Saccharomyces cerevisiae S288C: one gene and its partners. The gene in region 2 interacts genetically with the main gene of each other region. Each region holds a gene or a part of one and is shown on either strand. Other genes may lie near its edges. The genes, in order: VIP1, BAS1, IPK1 and UBR2.

The links.
Region 1: mutations in BAS1 (region 2) and VIP1 together harm fitness more than expected from each alone (negative genetic interaction), as found in Saccharomyces cerevisiae (4 studies listed by BioGRID).
Region 3: mutations in BAS1 (region 2) and IPK1 together harm fitness more than expected from each alone (negative genetic interaction), as found in Saccharomyces cerevisiae (3 studies listed by BioGRID).
Region 4: mutations in BAS1 (region 2) and UBR2 together harm fitness more than expected from each alone (negative genetic interaction), as found in Saccharomyces cerevisiae (2 studies listed by BioGRID).

What each region holds. Positions count from the first base shown.
Region 1 is NC_001144.5:935,928-941,492, reverse strand, and holds VIP1 (inositol polyphosphate kinase VIP1), read right to left. Parts: upstream 3,953-5,565; coding exon 512-3,952; downstream 1-511. Other genes in the region: YLR410W-A (gag protein), read right to left, coding at 1-10; rRNA-processing protein UTP21, read left to right, coding at 4,260-5,565. UniProt on the Saccharomyces cerevisiae protein: Bifunctional inositol kinase that acts in concert with the IP6K kinases to synthesize the diphosphate group-containing inositol pyrophosphates diphosphoinositol pentakisphosphate, PP-InsP5, and bis-diphosphoinositol tetrakisphosphate, (PP)2-InsP4.
Region 2 is NC_001143.9:634,259-638,792, reverse strand, and holds BAS1 (Bas1p), read right to left. Parts: upstream 2,943-4,534; coding exon 507-2,942; downstream 1-506. Other genes in the region: ubiquitin-specific protease UBP11, read left to right, coding at 3,614-4,534. UniProt on the Saccharomyces cerevisiae protein: Activates HIS4 transcription only in combination with PHO2/BAS2. BAS1 is also involved in the regulation of the purine biosynthesis pathway.
Region 3 is NC_001136.10:1,092,241-1,095,383, reverse strand, and holds IPK1 (inositol pentakisphosphate 2-kinase), read left to right. Parts: upstream 1-1,797; coding exon 1,798-2,643; downstream 2,644-3,143. Other genes in the region: OMS1 (putative RNA methyltransferase), read right to left, coding at 206-1,621; RAD34 (Rad34p), read left to right, coding at 2,873-3,143. UniProt on the Saccharomyces cerevisiae protein: Has kinase activity and phosphorylates inositol-1,3,4,5,6-pentakisphosphate (Ins(1,3,4,5,6)P5) to produce 1,2,3,4,5,6-hexakisphosphate (InsP6), also known as phytate.
Region 4 is NC_001144.5:187,213-195,050, forward strand, and holds UBR2 (putative ubiquitin-protein ligase UBR2), read right to left. Parts: upstream 6,070-7,838; coding exon 451-6,069; downstream 1-450. Other genes in the region: ESCRT-III subunit protein SNF7, read left to right, coding at 7,240-7,838. UniProt on the Saccharomyces cerevisiae protein: E3 ubiquitin-protein ligase which probably functions outside the N-end rule pathway, since it lacks the residues essential for the degradation of N-end rule substrates. Mediates RPN4 ubiquitination and subsequent degradation.

The DNA of each region.
Region 1 (5,565 bases), on a different chromosome or scaffold from region 2:
GGGATTCCATTTTTAATAAGGCAATAATATTAGGTATGTAGATATACTAGAAGTTCTCCTCGAGGATTTAGGAATCCATAAAAGGGAATCTGCAATTCTACACAATTCTATAAATATTATTATCATCATTTTATATGTTAATATTCATTGATCCTATTACATTATCAATCCTTGCGTTTCAGCTTCCACTAATTTAGATGACTATTTCTCATCATTTGCGTCATCTTCTAACACCGTATATGATAATATACTAGTAACGTAAATACTAGTTAGTAGATGATAGTTGATTTTTATTCCAACAAGAAGGTTGCTCTTTATATAGGTATATGTCACTAATTAATGTGCTCTGACGCATATCCTTATGGCGCTAATTTGCTCGTCTAAGGGTTCAACGAAAACTCCGGACCTAAAGATCGCGAGCAAAATTCAATTAAGTTTTTTTTTTTTAAAAAAAAGTTGAGTAAATACTTATTTAGTTTTGGGTTACTAAATTAAAAATTGGGTGTGATCACTAATCTAATGTCTTGTTAACGGAGGTAGATGATGAAGATCCGGACGAGGCAGGACGTTTCAACTTCTCAACAGATACCGACTTTCTTCTGGTTTTGCGTTTCTGGAAACTCAAGTTGGGGCTCGTAATGTTTACTGGTGTAAATTTCGGAGGCATAATGACCCTGGTAAATTTGTTTCTCAATTTCTGTTGAACATAGTCCATATCCAAATGCTTCGTCAGGGAAATCTTTGGAATACAACTAATATAATGCCTGTCATCTAATTGAACATCTAACGGATCTTGAGTATGACACCCAGGAGACATTTTTAGTCTAATGGAATGCGATTTTTGACCAGAAGCATCCGTACTCTCATAAAGTTCAAAAGTGATCTGCGACAAGTAGTCTAGTTCTGGTAAAGCATTTCTAGCGATTCTCATTGGAATACCAGATTCGTATATGATATTCAATAGAGTGTAAATATGGGACTCTTTGGTGAAGTACGCAACACAAGCTGGAGTTTCTCTATTTTTCATGTCTCCTATATCATTTAGTATTTGCTTTGCCAAAGGCAACGAAGTTAACAAACCGATATCCAGTTTCTCTGCATCTGAAATACCATATTCTTTGGGGCAGATAAAATCAAACAATACTTTGGCCAGCTTATACAGCTCCCGCAACTGCATAAAGCGTGGCTCATCGAATTGAGAAGAAGATTTGGGGTTTCTTGCTGTAGATGTTTTTCCGCTTTCCAGAACCCATCCTAACGACCCAACACTATTACTACTGTTCTTTCCAGAATTGTTCATGCTATGACTGTCTATTATCTTAAAATTATTTTTGGCGAGAACGTTAATTGGGTATCGGTCAACTAAAGAATGACTGCCGAGTTCATCGGCGATAGCTTCATTTGGAAGACCCGGGTCAAATATGTTCTCTAGGAACTGCCTGTTGTGAAGAGCATCATACTTCATAGTATCATACAATTCAGAAATTTTAGAAGGATCGACTTTTTCAGCATTATTGAATTCTTTGAAAAGTTTATCCCACCTTTCCTTAAACAAACTAGGATCTTCAGAAGTACACCATCTTGTTTGCATCGAGTTGACATCCTTTTTAGCAAAGTTGTTATCCATAATTTTTTTATGGTAATTCATCAATTCAACCACTCGCTTTATGACTAAATATGGCTCCGGCATCTTTGAAGGCCAGGCAAATTGTGGGGGAGCTTCCTTACCCTCTCTTAAAAGTGGCTTCAACTTCTTTTTCACCTTATCCATTAAATCTTTGGCGGCATTACTGTCATCTAAAAGATCCTTTCTAATACTGATTTCATCGCTACCTAATTCATCGGCCCCAAAAAGAGCTCTGGTCCAGTACTGCGCCGTATGAAGAACACGTCTCTCAGACGATGAAAATATCTTGATGTTTTGTAGAATGCTCTTATTCAATAGGTCAAAATCTTGTCTCATTTGCTCTCCGAGTTCCGTAGCCTGATATTTGGCAGAATGAGTGGGTTCACCACCCCATTTCAAAATAAACTGAACTTTTTCCACTTCGTTCTCTTTATTTAAAACCGGTTTCAATTGTATTTTCGTACCGGGAAAATTCAGTTTCTTTTCTAGAGCGTTTGCTAACACTTTAATTTTAGCTGGATTTCCTGCTTTTTCATCTAACGCAATTCTTAAGGCCTGAAGAACAATCTTTAAATCATTTACATTCCGAATGACAACTTCTTCTTTGTGACCTTTTAGTAACGATATAAAAATAGGCGAAGTGAATGAATGTTTGAATTTCTGTTTTGGTGTTCTGTCCGCGTGACGGATAATGATAGCCAGTCCTTTGAATACCCACTTTTGTTCCTTTTCTTCACGAATAATGGGCAGATTCTTCTTTTCCATATCCATCTTCTTTTTGGCTTCAATGAAGGTACTTCTCAATATATTGGCGCATGAATCATAGTAAGCTTTGTTATCCTTTACAAAAGAAAATCCGTTAACATCAATGACGTAACTTTTACCAGAAACGCGAAGCAAATCGAAACCACAGATCATTTGTGAAAAAGCTTTGGAAACTTTCCCAGCAATGGTTTTCTCTTCGTCTGATAACTCAGTAATATATCTAACTTCTTTACCATGAGTATTTCTTCTAACTATACCATCAACCACAGGTGATTTCCTAGTTTCAGCGTGACAAAAGTTCTCACCAATCGTATAAGCCTTCACATCTTCGAAATTATCGGTATCCATAAACTGCTCATAAATGTAAGACCCCTCCGTACGAGGATGAACCAAAGTAGGATCAAACTCAGAAGACTTGTTACCAACTTTACGGAATAGACGACGACCGCCTCCTCCGTTCTTAGAATGATAGTATATATAAATGTTGTGGTCTTCACCATCAACGGGCTTTTCAACAAAGGGCTTAGTCATGGTTTTCCCATCAACTTCTAAAGTATCATCATCAACCATTTTCCATTCCGGTTCTTCAACGGGTTTAACTTCTACGCCATGCTCACGTAATTTTGCCCTTAATTCTTCGTTGGCACGGGGACCACCATCTCTACTGATTTCCAGTCTAGGAGGTGTTGGAACGTTGTAGGCTTCTAATACTTGTAGACATAATCTCCTGTCCCACAAAATCTTTTGCATTATTAAATCATTGATAATGAAAGGCTTGCGTAACTTGACGTATTTAATTGCTTTATCTAGGGGAAATCCTGAAGAAAAGAAAGATATCAAAAAGTCGCAAGTTGGCCAATTCTCTATTCTTTCATCTAGAATCACCTTATCTCCAAAAATGACAGTTTCAAATTCACCATGTTCAATTAAACGATTCAAAATGTGTCTCATTGGCTTTGAAAGGACTTTTGCATCCATTGCACATACCCCAATCTTCCCTACCTTGGGTAGCCTAGGTTTGGGATGACTAGTCGAGGATTTGCGTGAAGAAGCTGATGAAGTAGGTACAGAGTTAGTTCCCATGTTAGTCTGCTCAGCGTCCATTGTTCCTTGAGGTAAATGGGGCGATCCGGTCTTGGAGATGGAATTTATGTTATCTGCATCATTGACTATGTTAGAATTGCTGAGCCCCTCAGGATCAGCTTCTGACTTTGATTCACTGTCTGCCTTTTTTAAACCGGAAGTTGTAACTGTATTGGTGTTGTTTCCGTTTCCTAGTGCAGTGCTTATGGTTCTTTGCAGAGTATCATGCACGGTGAGATTCTCTTCACTGTGATCATCTTGAATACCGGGAGGTGGCAATTTCAAAGACATATTTTCGCTAGCTGACGTCTTAGGACTGAAACCCTCCAATATTGGTGCAATAGATTGCATAGCCTTCTGTGTGTTTTTGTTTAGGAAAAGGGGTGACATCTCAGAAGGTGCACTAGGTAAGTTATTTTTTGTCTCTTGTTGAGGAACCTCATCAGATTCAATCGGTTCCTTCTTTATCCCACTCATGACCTTCTGCAATATATTAATATGCTACGAGATGCTTTTGAATTTGTATGAAATGCTCAGTGGGTAATTTAAGTGGTGAACATATTGATTCAATGATTAATTGCATTTTTCCTATCTTAAATAAATGATTTTCTAAAAACATTTTTGAGCACGTGCTTTTTTTTTTTTAACTGAAAAATTTTGAGAAAAATTTCGCGATGAGATTGCTAATGAAATTTAATAAGTCCTAAGCACAATAAATATACAGCGAAACAGCAGCAAGGAATAAGACACTGAAAAGGCTATAGCGAGTTAGGAATAGTACATTATGTCTATCGACTTGAAAAAAAGAAAAGTCGAAGAAGACGTAAGAAGTAGAGGGAAAAATTCTAAGATATTTTCCCCTTTCCGGATTATTGGTAATGTTAGCAATGGTGTTCCTTTTGCTACTGGTACATTGGGATCTACCTTTTACATTGTAACGTGTGTTGGTAAAACATTTCAGATATATGATGCGAATACCTTACATTTACTTTTTGTTTCCGAGAAAGAAACACCATCCTCAATTGTAGCATTATCAGCACACTTTCACTACGTCTACGCAGCATATGAAAACAAGGTTGGTATTTACAAGAGGGGTATTGAGGAACATTTGCTTGAGCTAGAAACTGATGCAAATGTCGAACATTTGTGCATATTCGGAGATTATCTTTGCGCTTCCACCGACGACAATTCCATCTTTATATACAAGAAGTCCGATCCGCAAGATAAATATCCATCAGAATTCTACACTAAACTTACCGTTACTGAAATTCAAGGTGGCGAAATTGTGTCTTTACAACATTTGGCAACTTATTTGAATAAATTAACTGTCGTTACCAAATCTAACGTTTTACTTTTTAACGTCAGAACCGGGAAGCTTGTATTCACATCAAACGAATTTCCAGACCAAATCACAACTGCTGAACCCGCTCCAGTCCTGGATATTATTGCTCTAGGTACCGTGACCGGTGAGGTTATTATGTTTAATATGAGAAAAGGTAAAAGGATCCGCACAATTAAGATTCCGCAATCAAGAATCTCCTCATTGAGTTTCAGAACCGACGGTTCTTCTCATTTGAGTGTGGGAACGAGCAGTGGTGATCTAATATTTTATGATTTAGATCGCCGTTCAAGAATACACGTTTTGAAGAACATTCATAGAGAATCGTACGGTGGTGTCACTCAGGCTACTTTTTTAAATGGTCAACCCATTATTGTTACATCAGGTGGTGACAATTCCCTGAAGGAGTACGTTTTCGATCCGTCATTATCTCAAGGAAGCGGTGATGTAGTTGTTCAACCGCCAAGATATCTACGTTCCAGAGGGGGTCATTCTCAACCACCTTCATACATTGCGTTTGCTGATTCGCAATCACACTTCATGCTATCAGCATCCAAAGATAGATCATTATGGAGCTTTTCTCTGCGTAAAGATGCACAGTCGCAAGAAATGTCACAAAGGTTACACAAGAAACAAGATGGCGGCAGGGTAGGTGGTAGTACAATTAAGTCTAAATTTCCTGAAATAGTGGCTCTTGCAATTGAAAATGCCAGAATAGGTGAATGGGAAAACATTATCACTGCACATAAAG
Region 2 (4,534 bases):
CTCTTCATGGATGATGGGTTTTAAAAAATTAGTCAAGACATAATTCTTAAAGTTCATAGTCTCATTTTTCATTTTCTTTTTGCCTGCTTTCTCTTTTATACATCGCCGCATAATTTACTAAACGCCCTTTGTGTTTGTGGGCGGAAAGAAATATATTCCCTTAAAATTTCCAGGAAATTATGTTGCTACAATGACTTATAAAGGGAAAAAATAAGAAGAGAAATCTTGGAAGAATACCCTAGTAAAATAGTGTACAAGGCAAAGTTCTTAATTATGCAAAATCGCCGTATATGAAATAGAACAACTTTTTATACAGCTTAAATACAGAATTCAAGTATGTTAATCAACATGAAAGAAAAAAAAAAAAAAATGCGAGTCATGAAACTACACGTTTTTTTCAGAGAATATTATCCATCTTGTGCTATGTATAATATACACTTATGCTTATTACAAAACTAATATGTTAAACAATTGAAAGATTTGTGTTTTTTTTCGGCCTTGCCTTCTCAACTAGGATTCAGTGGCAGGACTGACCCATTATCGGTAGAACCTCCTGACGTCATATCATGCTCGCTCGTCTTCTTAGCCTCATTATGCAGTGTATCTGCCTTTTTATCCAACAGTTCGTTAAAAAAATCGTATCCTCCGCTATGGGAACCTAGGCTGCTATCTTCTGTATGTGAGCCAATCCCTTGATGTACCACTTGAGGCTTGGCACCATCATTTTCAGCTGACTTTTCAACTGGAGGATTTGGATTCGTAGTAGCCAAGGATCTTAACGTTTCCCAAAAATCCAGGCCGTCTTCATCTCTCAATGGAGTATCAGATCTGGATGTAGTCCTTGATATCTCCGACTGATCAATGTGATTGAATTTATTGGTTGTCACAGATGATGAAGAATGATGCTGAGATGATTCACTTTTTCTTTTTTCTTTTTTCTTAGTTTTACTGCCGTTACTTCTTACTGAATTTGGAGATGGATTGAGTAACTTATTCAAGTCAGCACCTCTTGTCGCATCTGATGAGCCTAAATGAGGCCGTATAGTTGGTGGCAAATAGTTGAAATGCGCTATTCTATTAGGACCTACATCAGGTGGCATTTCTGAACCGCTCGTTGTATATGATGCCGTCGAACTTGGTGCCTTGCCATTTGTTCCATTGAAATTCGGTGACATACTATTAGCACTAACGTTTCCTTGAATGATTTCATTATTTGTAGCGGTAGAATTAGTTGGGATCAATGTATTTGCTTGAGGATAAAATACAGACGGGCTGTTTGTTTCTCTATTGCTTTGTGAACCAAGTTCATTTGCATTGTCAGCGGGATTGTGTGAAGTTGCTTCCAAGCTGAATGCGTTATAGTTGGGTGTTCTTGATAAAAAATCGCTATCCATGTTGTCCAGAGAAGTCCTATATTCTGGGTTAAAAGTGTCACTATTTGAATTTAACCCTGGAAGACCATTTCCCAGTTGTCTACCCATATGTGGGAAACTATCCATTAATAGAGGGTTTCCATTTATATTTCCTATATTTGACAATCCAGTATTGCTGCTGACAGGATGGTCTGTGGATGTAACATAATGATTGTGAATATGTTGATGTATCGAAATTTTTAAAGAGTACTTCTTAGCTTGGTCAACCAATTCTTTTACTAATTTTGTGCTGTCAATAGTTCCGTTAGAAATTGACAAACCTTGACCATCTTTTAATGTAAATTTCCATTGTGTGCTAGAGGAATTTGGTTCTCTAGTTTTCACAGTAGAATAAGCATGCTTCGGAGAATCTGAAATACTATTACTATTCATCATATGCTCATCGAGAGATGCTGGATTGAATGCTGGGGGAAGGCTTGTCTGTGGGCTATCTGAGATTCCTCCAGGACTTTGCTTGTTCATTTGAGAAAGACCTTCAATTGGTAAAGATACTTTGCTCCTAATGCTACCACTGGTATGAGTCTGACCGACTTGCGTCATCCTGATTGGTGGAGGTGCAGATATCTCTTTTAAGGGAGGTAATGCTTGTGGCTTGCTGTCATTTAAAATGGGTCCATCATTATCCTTTAATCTTGGTAGTTTGCTCGATTCGTTCTCTTTAACATTCAATATATCCTGCTTTATCAATGAAGGGTTGTTCTGTTGAGATAGCTGCAACTGTTCTTCTTTATTCGGTGTAGAATCTGAGCGTATATCAGAATCGGCGATTGGATGTTGTCGGAGTTTTCCGTCTGTCATGTCTATGTTCTTGTTTTCTTTTATAGCCTTTGTTATTACTTCTGATGCTTGTCCTCGCACAACCATAGTAATAATTTTCCGCCATCTGTTCCTGCACGTTAAACTTGGTCTGAATTCCATTTCCGACGAAATCTTTCTCCATTTCGTGCCGTATGCCTTCACTTTACTTATCAGATTTAAATCTTCCTCGAGCGTCCATTCTCTTAATCTACCTTTACTTCCAGGTCCCAACACTTCAATGTACCTTTTCGCACATTGATCCTCTGTTCTTCCAGGGATATCCATGGAGATACTCAGCCAGTGAGGCCCATGTTCTTCATAAGCTTTCAAGAGCTGCTCATCCTCTTCTTGTGTCCATTTACCTTTCTTCAAGTTTGGGTCCAGAGATCCTGTCCAACGCTTTCTTACATCCTTTGAAGTTCTTACGGTGTGTTTGAATCGTGTAGCTAAAACATCCCAAGCAATACATTTAGAAAGATGGTTGGATTGTTGAATTGTTTTTACGTCTTCAAGTCCATTCTCATAGCCTAACTCCTTTGCGGATTCGTTTACTAGCGATCGTAGCATATTATCGTCGTCCTTTGACCATGAATTTCTTCCATTTTTCCTGTGTGTCTGATAGCCAAGTGATTCAGTCACTTCAAGTAAATCGAAGCCGGATCCTCTTTTTGGCTTACTTTTTCGTATATCTTTGGTACTTATATTCGACATTCTCGATAAAATGTATTCTGCGATAAAAAAAAAAGAGCAAAAACGCTACAACAAAAGTTTTAAACAAAACTAATTTTGTTTACCCCACTAGAGATCAACAATTGTTGCAGAGAACGATTCAAATCAGCAAACCGGATTATCAGAAAGCAAATAATTAAACACAAAAAACGTACACTAGTCCTTTATAGTAAACTAATAAGAAAAATTTCTTATTATATAAATATAGCTGGTTAATTTCGATTGCTTTAAAGTTTCCTGGGGCTTTATTCTGTGACTGGACCCTATTTCTTCTAAAGGTCTTAACATAATTACTCATTCTCATTTTTTATTTTTTTCTTCGTCTGGCTCATCGCATTGTTCGGACCAAAAAAAAAAAAAAAAAGAAAAAAAGAAAAAAAAAAATAGTTTCTCCGTTGCACATCGTCAAAGGTGATTTCCCCACATCTATTATAAAGTTTTTCCGGAGTGCTTAAAAAAGGGATTGACATTTCTTCGAGAATTAGTTGAGAAACCCTTTTAGATTGTGCGCTGAGTAATCATTAGGTTGATTATAAGCTCTGAAAGGTTACTGCTACTGCTAGTAGTCTTTCAGGATCTTCAGTAAACTAAATAACCGTGGCATTGATCTTACTTTCCGTTTTCTTTTCGCTAAATCGGAAGTCATAAAGACAATGTTATTAAACCCAGATCAAATTCTAAACCTAGTTCGAAAAGTATATGAAGTAGATATTAAACAGTTTTATTCGCAATTACGGCTAAAGAACTTAAGAGGATTGTTAGACCATGCTGCTCATCTGTTTAATGTTTACCTGAGGGATTTAGAAATCAATCAGGAAATGGAAGCTTTGACAGCATTTATTATTGGTTGTTATTATCTGTACCTTATTATTCCACAATCGTTACAATTCCAAACAAGAAATAATCTCTACAGCAGTTACGCAAAGCTAAAAAACGACTATCAAGACGAACACGTGATGGGTTATGTGTTAAAAGTGGTAAGAGATGAAAGTACTGTTATTGTTGACCGGTATTTAGCGGAGTCAAACGGAATTTGCAGGACCATAAAAAGAAAAAGAGCCTACTCCTTACCGCTACGGCCTTTACCTGTTCATATGGCCTCTTTGTCAATACATAACAAGTTTGATGGCTCACTACATGAAATACCGAATGAGCTAACAAAACCAACAAATGATAATTCGAAAGAGGACATAGTCAGGGAAAGTAATCAGATAGCATCAAGTAATAAATTGGAAGCTGGTTCTGAAGTGGCGTACTACACAAGCAAAGAAGCATTATCAAAACCCTCGTATTTAAAACTCAGTACTGGAAAGGATGCATTATTCAAAACGCTGTCTAGTCCAGCAACTGCTCCCCCCGTGCACTCCTTGGAGGTTTCGTCACAAATCAGAGATTCTAGCCAAGATTCTTCATCCTCTTTATCCAAGGTGGAAAAGCCAAAGGAGGAAGAAGGAAAGATCGAGGCCATAGAATCTTCGGCCCCGAAAGCTTACAATCTACCAGTAATTGAAGATTCTAATGATCTGTTATCAGAGTTATCTATTACTGGCCTGCAAAATCCATGCAATACATGC
Region 3 (3,143 bases), on a different chromosome or scaffold from region 2:
CCACAGAGTTCGCATTTTTATTTTTTCCCAGTGACGCAATTTTTGGATTGTTAATAATAGCGTCGTTACGTCACATATGGTCAGTATGATCACTTTAGAAGTAAGGAGAACTACCTAAGGGGTTTTAGATCACATTTTAACTTGCTTACTGAAATATTTACACGATTCTAAGCCTGTATAAAATTCATTGGTATGAATAAATATGTTAACTTTTACTTACAGGAGGTACTGGCTCAAGTTCTTTTTTAGATGCCATATCGTCTTTTTTTTCGAATGATTCCATTCTCTTTCTAATACTTGATTGCAAGTATTTTTCTACAAACCCAAGCTCGTCTTTCTTTTTCACATCACCTTTTCTCTTTGCAACGATACACCAAGTAGTGCCTAAGTGAGTCCGTTTTTCTTCCACCAATTCTAGGTCAGAATCATCTAACACTTCGCCTAAGTCGAGATTCCATCGACAGCCCCAAGTATTCAGTCTTCTTTCAGCTCTGTTGTCTAATATCTTATTTATAAAATCGTATTGACCTCTACCATGTTCCAGTAAAATAATTCTTCCATCTGGCTTTAATAACTTGCCAAAATTATTAAGTGCCTTAACCGGATCTTCATGGGAACACAAACCAAACGCCTCCACGATAGTATCATATTTTACTTGGTTTTCCTTTTCATTCTCTAGAGAGGGCTTACCTTTCTCTGCTAAGTCTACTAGATTTTCCGCCTTTCCAACAACAAATGCAACTTTTTTATACTTAGGAAACTTTTCTCGGAATTTTTTATGTGTAATTTCCATCATATTTTCAGAAGAGTCTAAGAATGTTATAGAGTTGATGCGTGACATATCAAGGTACTTGATATTTCTTCCTGTACCGCATGAAACTTCCAAAACATCCCCTTGACAATGTTTCATTAACCATTTCCTTCTTTTACCGAGAAATATTACTCTCTCTTCCATATTAATTGCCTTATCATATTCGTTAGCTTTTTCTTGGTAAAAGTTTGTTGTGTCTCTTGCTGGCAATATTTGTTCATTCAATTTGTTTTGATCAAAATTCTGTACCCGAATATCATCGAAGTTTTCAATGCCTTCTTCTTGCATTTTTTTGTATTCTTCTAATTTCAATTCATCTCTCCTCCTTAGTTTTCCTTTCAATTCTTTAATCCTTAATGCTTCGTATTCATTGGCATTCCCTTCTTCTTGTTTCTTCAACAATCTTTCCAGTTCTTTGTCTTTCGCAAACAGTTTTTTGGTAAAGAAGAGACCATAGATTAAAAATATCACATAAGCACCGATCATGTACTTGGTCATTCCCTTTGAAAACTTTTCTGATCTCGCAATAGCTCCCCACCTCACAAATCTATTAGGTGACCTCAGTTGTTCTTCGAACCTCTCTTTGGCCAATTCTTCTTTTGTTTTTTGCTTACGAATGACTCTATTGCTATTCATTTGGAAAACATTTTTAAGCTTTTTTTTACTTTTATCATCATCAATGTGGCTGCTGTTATATTTATAAGATGTAAAAGATAATGATCGCCTTTGTGATTCCAACAAAAGACTCCTGGATGCCGGTTGTCGAATGTGATGTAAAAGGCACGTAGGAAAGCGACGAAATACGATCATCCTCACTTACTTATGGTTTTCTTGTTCGTTCCTCAGTGGTTTATTTATCGAAGATATTTTCACAAGGTACTTTTTTGATGCGGTCCCATTTAGGGTTTCCAAAATTAATTCGAACCGTGATATGCTACCAGTCGAAAATTGTCAGAGATAAGTTCCTTTTTTGAAAAGAAAGATCGATGCAAGTCATCGGACGTGGTGGGGCAAATATACTGATTGATTATGGGGATCCTACGTGGTTGTGGCGATGCTGCATCCGTTGGCCCGATCTGTTATCATCAAATAATTCTTATACAATCAAAAACATCAGTTATATTAAAGATTATGTAGAACCTCTTCTACATGGCTTGCTTTGCCCGATGTATCTGATTGACGTCGATATAGAAGCTATAAGGCCAATTCTCAGTGACTTTATTCTAAATTTAGACGATAAGGTAGTCAAAGTTATCAAAATTAAAAATCTCACCAATAATACCTCAAATCTGATATTAAATAACCACTTTTTAAAATCTTATTGTTCACAAAATCTGCAAACAGTTATTTTAGAATTGAAGCCTAAATGGTTATACTATGATACAGATTACTGTAGGAACTGTACTCATAATGCATTTAAGGGTAGAGGCACTAAGTACTGTTACAATCAATTACTAATGAATCCAGCACACTTGGAATTAATATTTGGAGAATGTAATATATTTCCGGTTAAGTTTAAAGATGCCATGCATGAGTACTTGCGCAATGACAATAACATTTTCAAGATCCTTTATGATTTACAGAAAAAACTTACAAAGAACACAACTCCAATAAGTGACATAAAATCAATCAACGATGTAAACGATGAGCATCTGCTACTCATGACACTCAGAGACGTGACATGTTTCATTGAATGGAACAGTGCTGAAAATGCGTTGCACGTGAATATAATAGATGTAGATCTAAAGCCAAAAGAAAAATGGACCCATTGGACAAAAACTTACAGCCAGTTGACATCAAGCCAAAAAATTTATCATACTTCAAATAAATAAACTGTATACTTTTCTTTCCACCTTTGGTACTGGCAGATGCACATACATTACCATTTGTAAAATATATGGATAGATAAGTATTTTTTTTTTCTAGTGGCCCTCTGGAAAATGTAAATAATAAAACGGAAAACACACAAGCCAGGGTGAATGACCAAATTCGATATTCAACGAAGGGTCAAACCTTGAAACCTAGCATACATGAGTTTAAGGAATAGTGAGAAGAAAAGTAATGGCCAAGAGACTGTTAGAATCAAGCCAAAATGATCAGGCCAATCGAAAAAACTCAAAGATTGAGAAGAAAGAAGTATCGTTTTATGAGGAGGAAGAAACAGATGATTCTTTTGATAGTTTTTACCAGGATGAAGAAGATGATTTAAGTGATATTGATTGGGAAGAAGTTTCTTTAGATGGAAGCTTAACTGTCACATTTGGCAATATACGCAGAGACAGGGAGAAAGTCAGCAAGTACAAAAGAAAGCATAATAAAAAAGCATTCAATT
Region 4 (7,838 bases), on a different chromosome or scaffold from region 2:
GGCTAAACTTTACCAGACGACAAAACAAGTGTAGAATTTGAATCAACTGTGTCCTAAAGAAAAAATAATGTCCAAAAACTCTTATTATAAAACGAGTAAACCACCACTTCGCTCGAATCGCCAAGCTTTCTAGATGTACACCCACGCTGTGTCACCTTATGACTATATACCTTATCCATCAACACTTTCTCCATTTCCTGCAGGGTAAAAAGAAAAGTGAAGTCACCCTGCACTATACGAGCTTCAGCCCATACCCCACACTAAAACATTTCTTTTTCTGCGGCATTTCTTTTTTTTTCGGTCCGTCCCTGTCCCTTCCCACGAGAAAGCGTAATGATCCTCGACCCTACCCCACTTCCCCACGCCAATTAAAACAGATAAAATTTCTTTTGATTTTTCGGATACGCTAATTTCGTAGCAATTTTGAATGACTAGACATTTGTTGGATAACTACATAGTCTCCCACCCACCAAGATCTGCACTGCCGTCCGTTAGTCGGAACACTATGTGCGGAATCATGTTGCCAAAAACAATCTCATTCGCTAGATTCGCGTATCTCGCCCGATTCAAATAGACGGGAGTACCGAATTTGTAGTCTTCGTTGGTCTCTCCGTATTTACTTAGATAAGGTGCAGCATAAAATGTACCTCTTTTGCCGTATGACAGATATATCGCATTTGTGCCGGTCATTAAGAAAACTCCGTAAGCGGAGGTGATTTCGCATCCATTTCTCATATGATCAGTACATTCCCCCTGTAAATAACCTTGCAGTGCTATGCTTTTTTGAATATGGCATTTTTGGCCACACAACAAGCATACTGCGATTTCGTATTTATCACATTTATTCGATATTTCATCATTATCAAGGGAAAATTTGGAAAGGTTCAATGGTAGTTCGATAAGCTGGATATGCTCTGGTGAAGGATATGCTCTTGTGTTTATGTTCTGCACCATGTCATATATTACTTGCTGAATTCTCAAATTATCATTACCATCATTATACCTTTCTATATTTTGTGTTAGTTCGTTGTAGAAAAAATCCTTCAAAAAGTGAGTTAAATTGGGTAATTTAAAATACCGGAAAATAAGCTCTATTTCACGCTGTTTGACGTCCATGAAATTATTGCTGCGGTTATTATTATTATCACCATCACCATCATCATCATACTGAATGTTGAATAATAAGAAGGTTCTTCTACAAAAAATGGACAATGACTCTAGTAATAGAGAGCATATAAAGTCTTTAATTTTCTCTAAACTTGTAAAATCAAACCGAACGTCGTCTGGTTTAAAGAGATCAACATACTTTTTAAAAGTATTGAATAGATATGAAAAGCTTGTCGATGGTTCCTCAGATCCGTTTGATGATATTTTGATTTTATTTCGACAGTCTTTGTAAAAGTTTACTCTCATCATATCTCTTGCAAGCAACAGTAGTAGTTGATGGAACCTTCTTTTGAACATTTCATAGATACATAGGTTAGGCGGTTGCGGGGTTTTTCCTCCATCAATATTATCAAAATTTTGACTCATATACAAAAGTAGATTCACATTATTACCCTTTATTAGAAACTCATTCCAATTCCATATTTTACGAGAGATTTCGCTGCTGAATGTTTTTGAATTAACAAATTTTTTGTAAATAAACGACTTTAGCTCACAAACTAAATGTAAGGTTAAAATGCACTGACTGGATATTCTTTCCATATTCACTATTTTTCCTTCCTTTTTGTGCGATCTTAATCTGAGCTCAGTATTTGAAATAGTATTAATAAAAACACTATTAACAACTTTATATGCATCTTCGATAGTCGTGACTTTTTTACCCTGAAGATCACCTAGAATCATCGCTGCTTTAATACAAATAGAGCTCATTGGGTCAAGGTTTTCTTCCGCTTCACTTCGCTTTTCAATACACATAAAAAACTGGCTCGAAGTTCTCTTATCTATATCATTTGTTTTTGGTAGAAATGAATTACTTAAGGAATTGCATACGGGACAATATATCAACCCTGAACCATACGATAATGGAATATTTTTTGTAGTTTGGTTTTGTATTCCGCGAATCGACTTCATATGGCCACTTAAACATTTGGTATGAGACCCATGCCCGCATGCTCTTAATACTGGTTCACAGCTAGTAAATTTCAATCTCGTTCCATCATCATCCTGGGGGTTTTCTTGGATTGCACTGTCTTTTGTTTGCTTACCACTGAACAGCGAATTTATTCTATTAACATCTGTAGGATTCGTAAAATCAATTCCATGATCACATATGTTCCGTTCTTGGTATGAAAAATAAACAAATACATCGTCATCCTTCGGCATCTTGCAAAATACGCAATCATCATCGCAGCAACTGTTGATTGTGTTACTACTATTCTCTGCATTTATTCTAGTGGGAGATAAACTAGGTGATGTGGTTCTGGGTGTACTAATATCGGAAGTATCTACACTATTGTTTTCCATGAATTTCATTTGCTGTTGAGCCAACTTCTTCATTAATTTTTTCTTTCTCAATCGAGCAAGATGTTTTTTCCTTTCAAATTCTTTATCCTTGTGGCTTTTATCTTCCTTTGTAGGCCACAATATTCCTGGTGTATATGACGTGGTTTGCTCCCTCAAATAACTGTTTACATTTACGTGAGGCGCTGTTTCCATTAAATACCTGAAAATTTCCCTAATCTTACCATGAGATTCCGAAAAATTATCCTTCAACAAACAGTAATACAGGATAGAACCAATGCTGTGGTAATGACAGAATTCTGTGTCCACAATTGCGTATTCATGCCACAGTATCCCCATAAATTCATTCAGATTATTAACCACGCATAAATGAATCAAATGAACCACTCTCGGCAATAAATTGTCATAATCATATTTTATAATGTGATCTAAAGTATTTTTCAAAAATAAACCAAAAGTATTCACTGATGATATTGAATACAGCCCAGAAAATAATGTATTCTTCAACAAATCTTTAACCTTTTTTGCTGGTACAAAAGTATCTTCATATTTCATTTTCTTCAAATTTGCCATATTCAGCCTGATATTTTTCTCTACATCATACCTCCTACTGGAAGACAACCCTATATAATAAGGATCAATCTCATCTTTATACTTTTCTTTCAACACGAAAATGCCATTGTCAGTCAAGCTTACAGGAGAAGTGTAATTGGCGTATTTTTCGAGATATATATCAAATGAAGGGTGCTTGGTGATATGTTCTGGAATACAGTTAACAATTTGTGCGTAAGAGCATGTATCAAAGCAAAGGGCATGAATTATTTCTGATTTGAACGTTCTCTCGAAGCCTTCCTTTGATGATTTCATGACCAATGATCTCACTTCAGTAAGCAATTGAATCAATAACAGAATGCATTCATTAACAACGGCTACAGTTGTTTCTGTATCAGGATAATCATACATAGGTACACCATTTGCCCAGTGCTTCAAACCCCACCTTGAGAGGTAAGTAACCATCAGTTCATCAGGATTGCACATTGCCATACTAAATTGCACATTGAAAATGTCACTAATATAAGTAAATTCTCGCATACTGTATTTTGTATACATCCGGGCCTGGTGAGTAATTGGAGTTCCGTTTCTTACCCAGAAACCGACGTTTATTTGCCCGATTAGGACTAGGGTTGACAAAGCAGATTCTGATATATATAAAGCCTTCTGCTTATCTTGAAAAACTTCGAAGAGATTAATGTAGTTTGTCAAAGAAGCAGGAATTGGCTCATATCTACCACATTGACTCCATTGAATAACAAATTTGAACAAATATGACATTGGATTGAAAAAATACTGTGTATTTACACCTACCTGGAAATTAATAGTCTCTGCGACATAATTGCATATCGTCTCTCTGACTGTAGACAAAGTCGCTTTGTTCGAATCATTTTCATTCGTTGATGCGTTATCAGGTGATATAGCTTTTCTAGAATTGGTTAGTGATTCAAATTCCCTGGTTTGAGCAACATCAAGTAGTTTAAGGACGATTTGCTTACGGAAAGCCGCATCTTTGACCAAAGATATACTACGTGTGTATCCATCTGTCATTATTAGTATTGATGAGAAAAAAAAATAAAATGCAGAAAAATCAAAGTTTTCAACCTCCACGTGTTCTTTAGTTTCCCTTTTCAATGGCAGCACGTTACTGAATTCAGAGAAGGACTCAATTATTGCGTTAAAAATTGCCTCATTTGAAAGTAGTTCTTCCGGAACAGTGTTCGCTGACATTATCGTACAAAGGTCTTTAAAGCAAATAATTGTCCTTCGATTTCGTATTGTTTCGGTGGGCAACTTAAAGCCATTGTATAAAGAGATGGGCAAATATGACATCAAGTCTTCTGGATTGAATGCCATGAGAGTAAAAGCAAATCTAATAGTTCGTTCAATGAATCCCGAGCTTATAGTCATATTTGCTATGCTGGGGTCTTGGAAAGTGTATTGCCCTAATATACTCATAAGAGTTACCTGACATTCTTTAGCATCTGATGCAACTGCATCATACAAGACCGATAGATAAACATCAATATATTGTGCGGCAAGAAACTTTCTGCTTTCATCCCTTAACGAGAATAATGACGCCATGATCTTTAACATTTTGAATTTAGATTTTTTTGAGAGGATATTAATAGAATTGATGATAATATATTGGAATCTAGATCCATAGAAATTGTAGAAATGGCTTACTGTGTTCGGCGAATGGGCTCTGATCAACCTTTCATTGTAATTAGTGAGTATTTTTGAAATTCTTTCGTCTTCAATGTTCTCTAATGACCAAGGTTTAAACCATGATTCATCACTATCTTCGTTAGATATTAAGAATCCACCTAATAAGTTAATCTTAGAAAAGTCAGGATTGGTATTTGTGGGAGATACTCTCATTTTAGAAAAATGGGAATACCAAACATCTAGCATGGAAATTCTAAGAGCATATTTATTTTGCAAAGACGTGGCCGCCTTAAAGCACAGAGAATATAACCAATCTGTTAAATCATCTGTTAACTTTCTCTTGAATATATCATCCGCTTTTCTTACATGAACTACTATGTTTTCCTTTTGAAACTCCTTGGCTATTTGATCTATTTCGAAAAAATTCTCACTTTGTAGCACAGTCACTACATCGTGTGAATCTTCTAAAGCCTTCGTTATTGAGATTGCATATTCAACCGGTGTATTCAAAATTCTTGTTATTGTAGATGCTAAATCCATGTAGTGTACGTTACACTCTTCTTCTTCGATTTGAATAGCCCACTCCATATGTGCTTCTTTTCTCGTATTGGACCAATTGTTATCAAAGAAAACAAAATTTTCATCATTGACCAATGGTTCACATTCGTGTTTTTCCATTATATCATCAGTAATGCTGTTTTGATTAGGATGCATTAGGGAGGATGCTTTTCTCTCGCTTGAATGGGCTTCTGCCTCCTCTTTGTATGAAACAGTTACATCAATTAAAAAATCCAGAACATAATTCAATAGGGAGATTACGTTTTCATCATCGGTTACGTTACTATTGTCGTTAGAAATAGGAATATTATTTAATTCGTTCTTGCACTTGAACGCGTCGCTTGGGTCATTAAAGGCAAAGGGGTCACCACAATGGCATATTCTGCCTTCTGGGCGCATTACCACTTTAGCAACATAAGAATGATTTACATGTTTTTCTTTATCGAAACAAAGCTCACATATTTCATACAATGGATTTGTGGAGCACGTAAAACAGTAATAAATTGTCTCAGAGGGGAAGCATAAACGCGTACACGCTGTTCCAATATGCATATTACCCACAGAGTGGTGGTCATTCTCGAACTCCAGGGTCCTCCACTTTCTTCCATTTAGTATGTCTCTGTACTTTTCGTTTTCCCAGGCTTCAGAATTGAGTATTGAAACGAGAGAGCGCCAGTTTATATCGTTATCACTATGCTTAAGGCGTAGATTTAAGGTTTTCCATAGTAAATAACTAGTGGTTTCGCTATATTCGCATTTCGCGAGTTTGGGGAGCTCGGTAAGAAAATCTCTTATATTGGTTATAGACAGGTCAGAATCTTCCATGCGTGCTTGTTAAGTAGCTATTAATTTAGTTAACGAATCTTACCTTTACTATCAGAGACGAGTAAATGATAATAATTAGAAAAAAAAGCCGGCTCTTTTTTTTAAAAAGCTTGAGCAACTTTTTTTTTTTATAGAGTTGTTAGTAATATGCCAAGCAATTGAAAGTATGAATGCGTTGATTATTGGGTTTCTCCCCACAGCTGTACATTGACGATGCTCTTTATTGATATCGCCTAAAAGTTCAACAAACGCCACTGGAAATTGCCGCCGTTGTCACCACAACGTGATAAGTGATGGTGTGCTTTTTGCACATCTAGTGAAGAAACGGGCAATTAGGATCTAGGACCAGTAACACTTGCCCCGCAAATATTATAACATGGGCCTTATGATTGCTCGGTTTGTTACATCTAACATCCTAAGAAGTGAGTGGCATGAATACGTAGCTATATGTAGATTGAAAATTGATGAGTCGAGTCATCACCTTCCTCTAAACGGGGGATAAATTTTGGCGGTATTTTCCCTAATTTTATTCTTCGTTATGTCAGCCATGTGAGACTAATTAATTCAAGTTTTGACTTACAATTGCGGCTTCGTCGGAAATCAGTATTACGTATAAACTGTGTACCATAAAATTGGCGTACTCGGTATTGTTTATACTAAGCCGGCCATTCTAGTGATTTCGCCTCTATAAATGGTTGTTATTCGAGTATAATATTTCAACCGCATCAAAGAAAGAGGTAGATAGCTTGCGTTCAACACCGTTCTTTTCTTTCCCCCTTAATTTAGCGCTTGGCGGTTATGCTATGGTGACAGTTAACTTTTTTAATTATAGGATGACTTGTCATATTGTTATATGCCGCATACTTATGTAAAGTAGTTATTGAGGTGGGGGTGAGCAGAGTAACGACAACGATGGAGTTCCGTAACTAACCAATGCTTAATGTTGGTAAGTAATAGCAAATATATATACTACATAGCTTTTGTTATATGCATCATTTTATACGATTCATGTTCGACCCTTTTGATAAAAGATGGGATTTTTAAATAAGTCGGTGGGTGATTTCGAATCATGAATAGTTGGCAGAGCAGGGGAAGTACGAGCTTCTAAAGGGTAAGATATTGTATTTCGGACGGAAGCAGCAGAAACATAACAGTATTGATAAATAAGGCATGTGGTCATCACTTTTTGGTTGGACATCAAGTAATGCCAAGAATAAAGAGTCACCAACAAAGGCCATAGTGCGGTTGAGGGAGCATATCAACCTTCTATCCAAAAAGCAATCGCATTTACGTACTCAAATTACAAATCAAGAGAATGAAGCTAGAATCTTTTTGACGAAGGGCAATAAAGTAATGGCGAAGAATGCACTTAAAAAGAAGAAGACAATCGAACAACTTTTAAGTAAGGTAGAAGGCACAATGGAGTCTATGGAACAGCAGCTATTCTCTATAGAAAGTGCAAACTTAAATCTAGAGACAATGAGGGCTATGCAGGAAGGTGCTAAGGCAATGAAAACTATTCACAGTGGCCTTGACATAGATAAAGTGGATGAAACTATGGACGAGATAAGGGAGCAAGTCGAATTAGGAGATGAAATAAGCGACGCTATATCCAGGCCTTTAATTACTGGGGCAAACGAGGTGGATGAAGATGAGCTGGACGAGGAATTGGACATGCTGGCTCAAGAAAATGCTAACCAAGAAACGTCCAAGATCGTTAATAATAATGTTAATGCGGCGCCTATCTCAGAGAACAAAGTCTCACTACC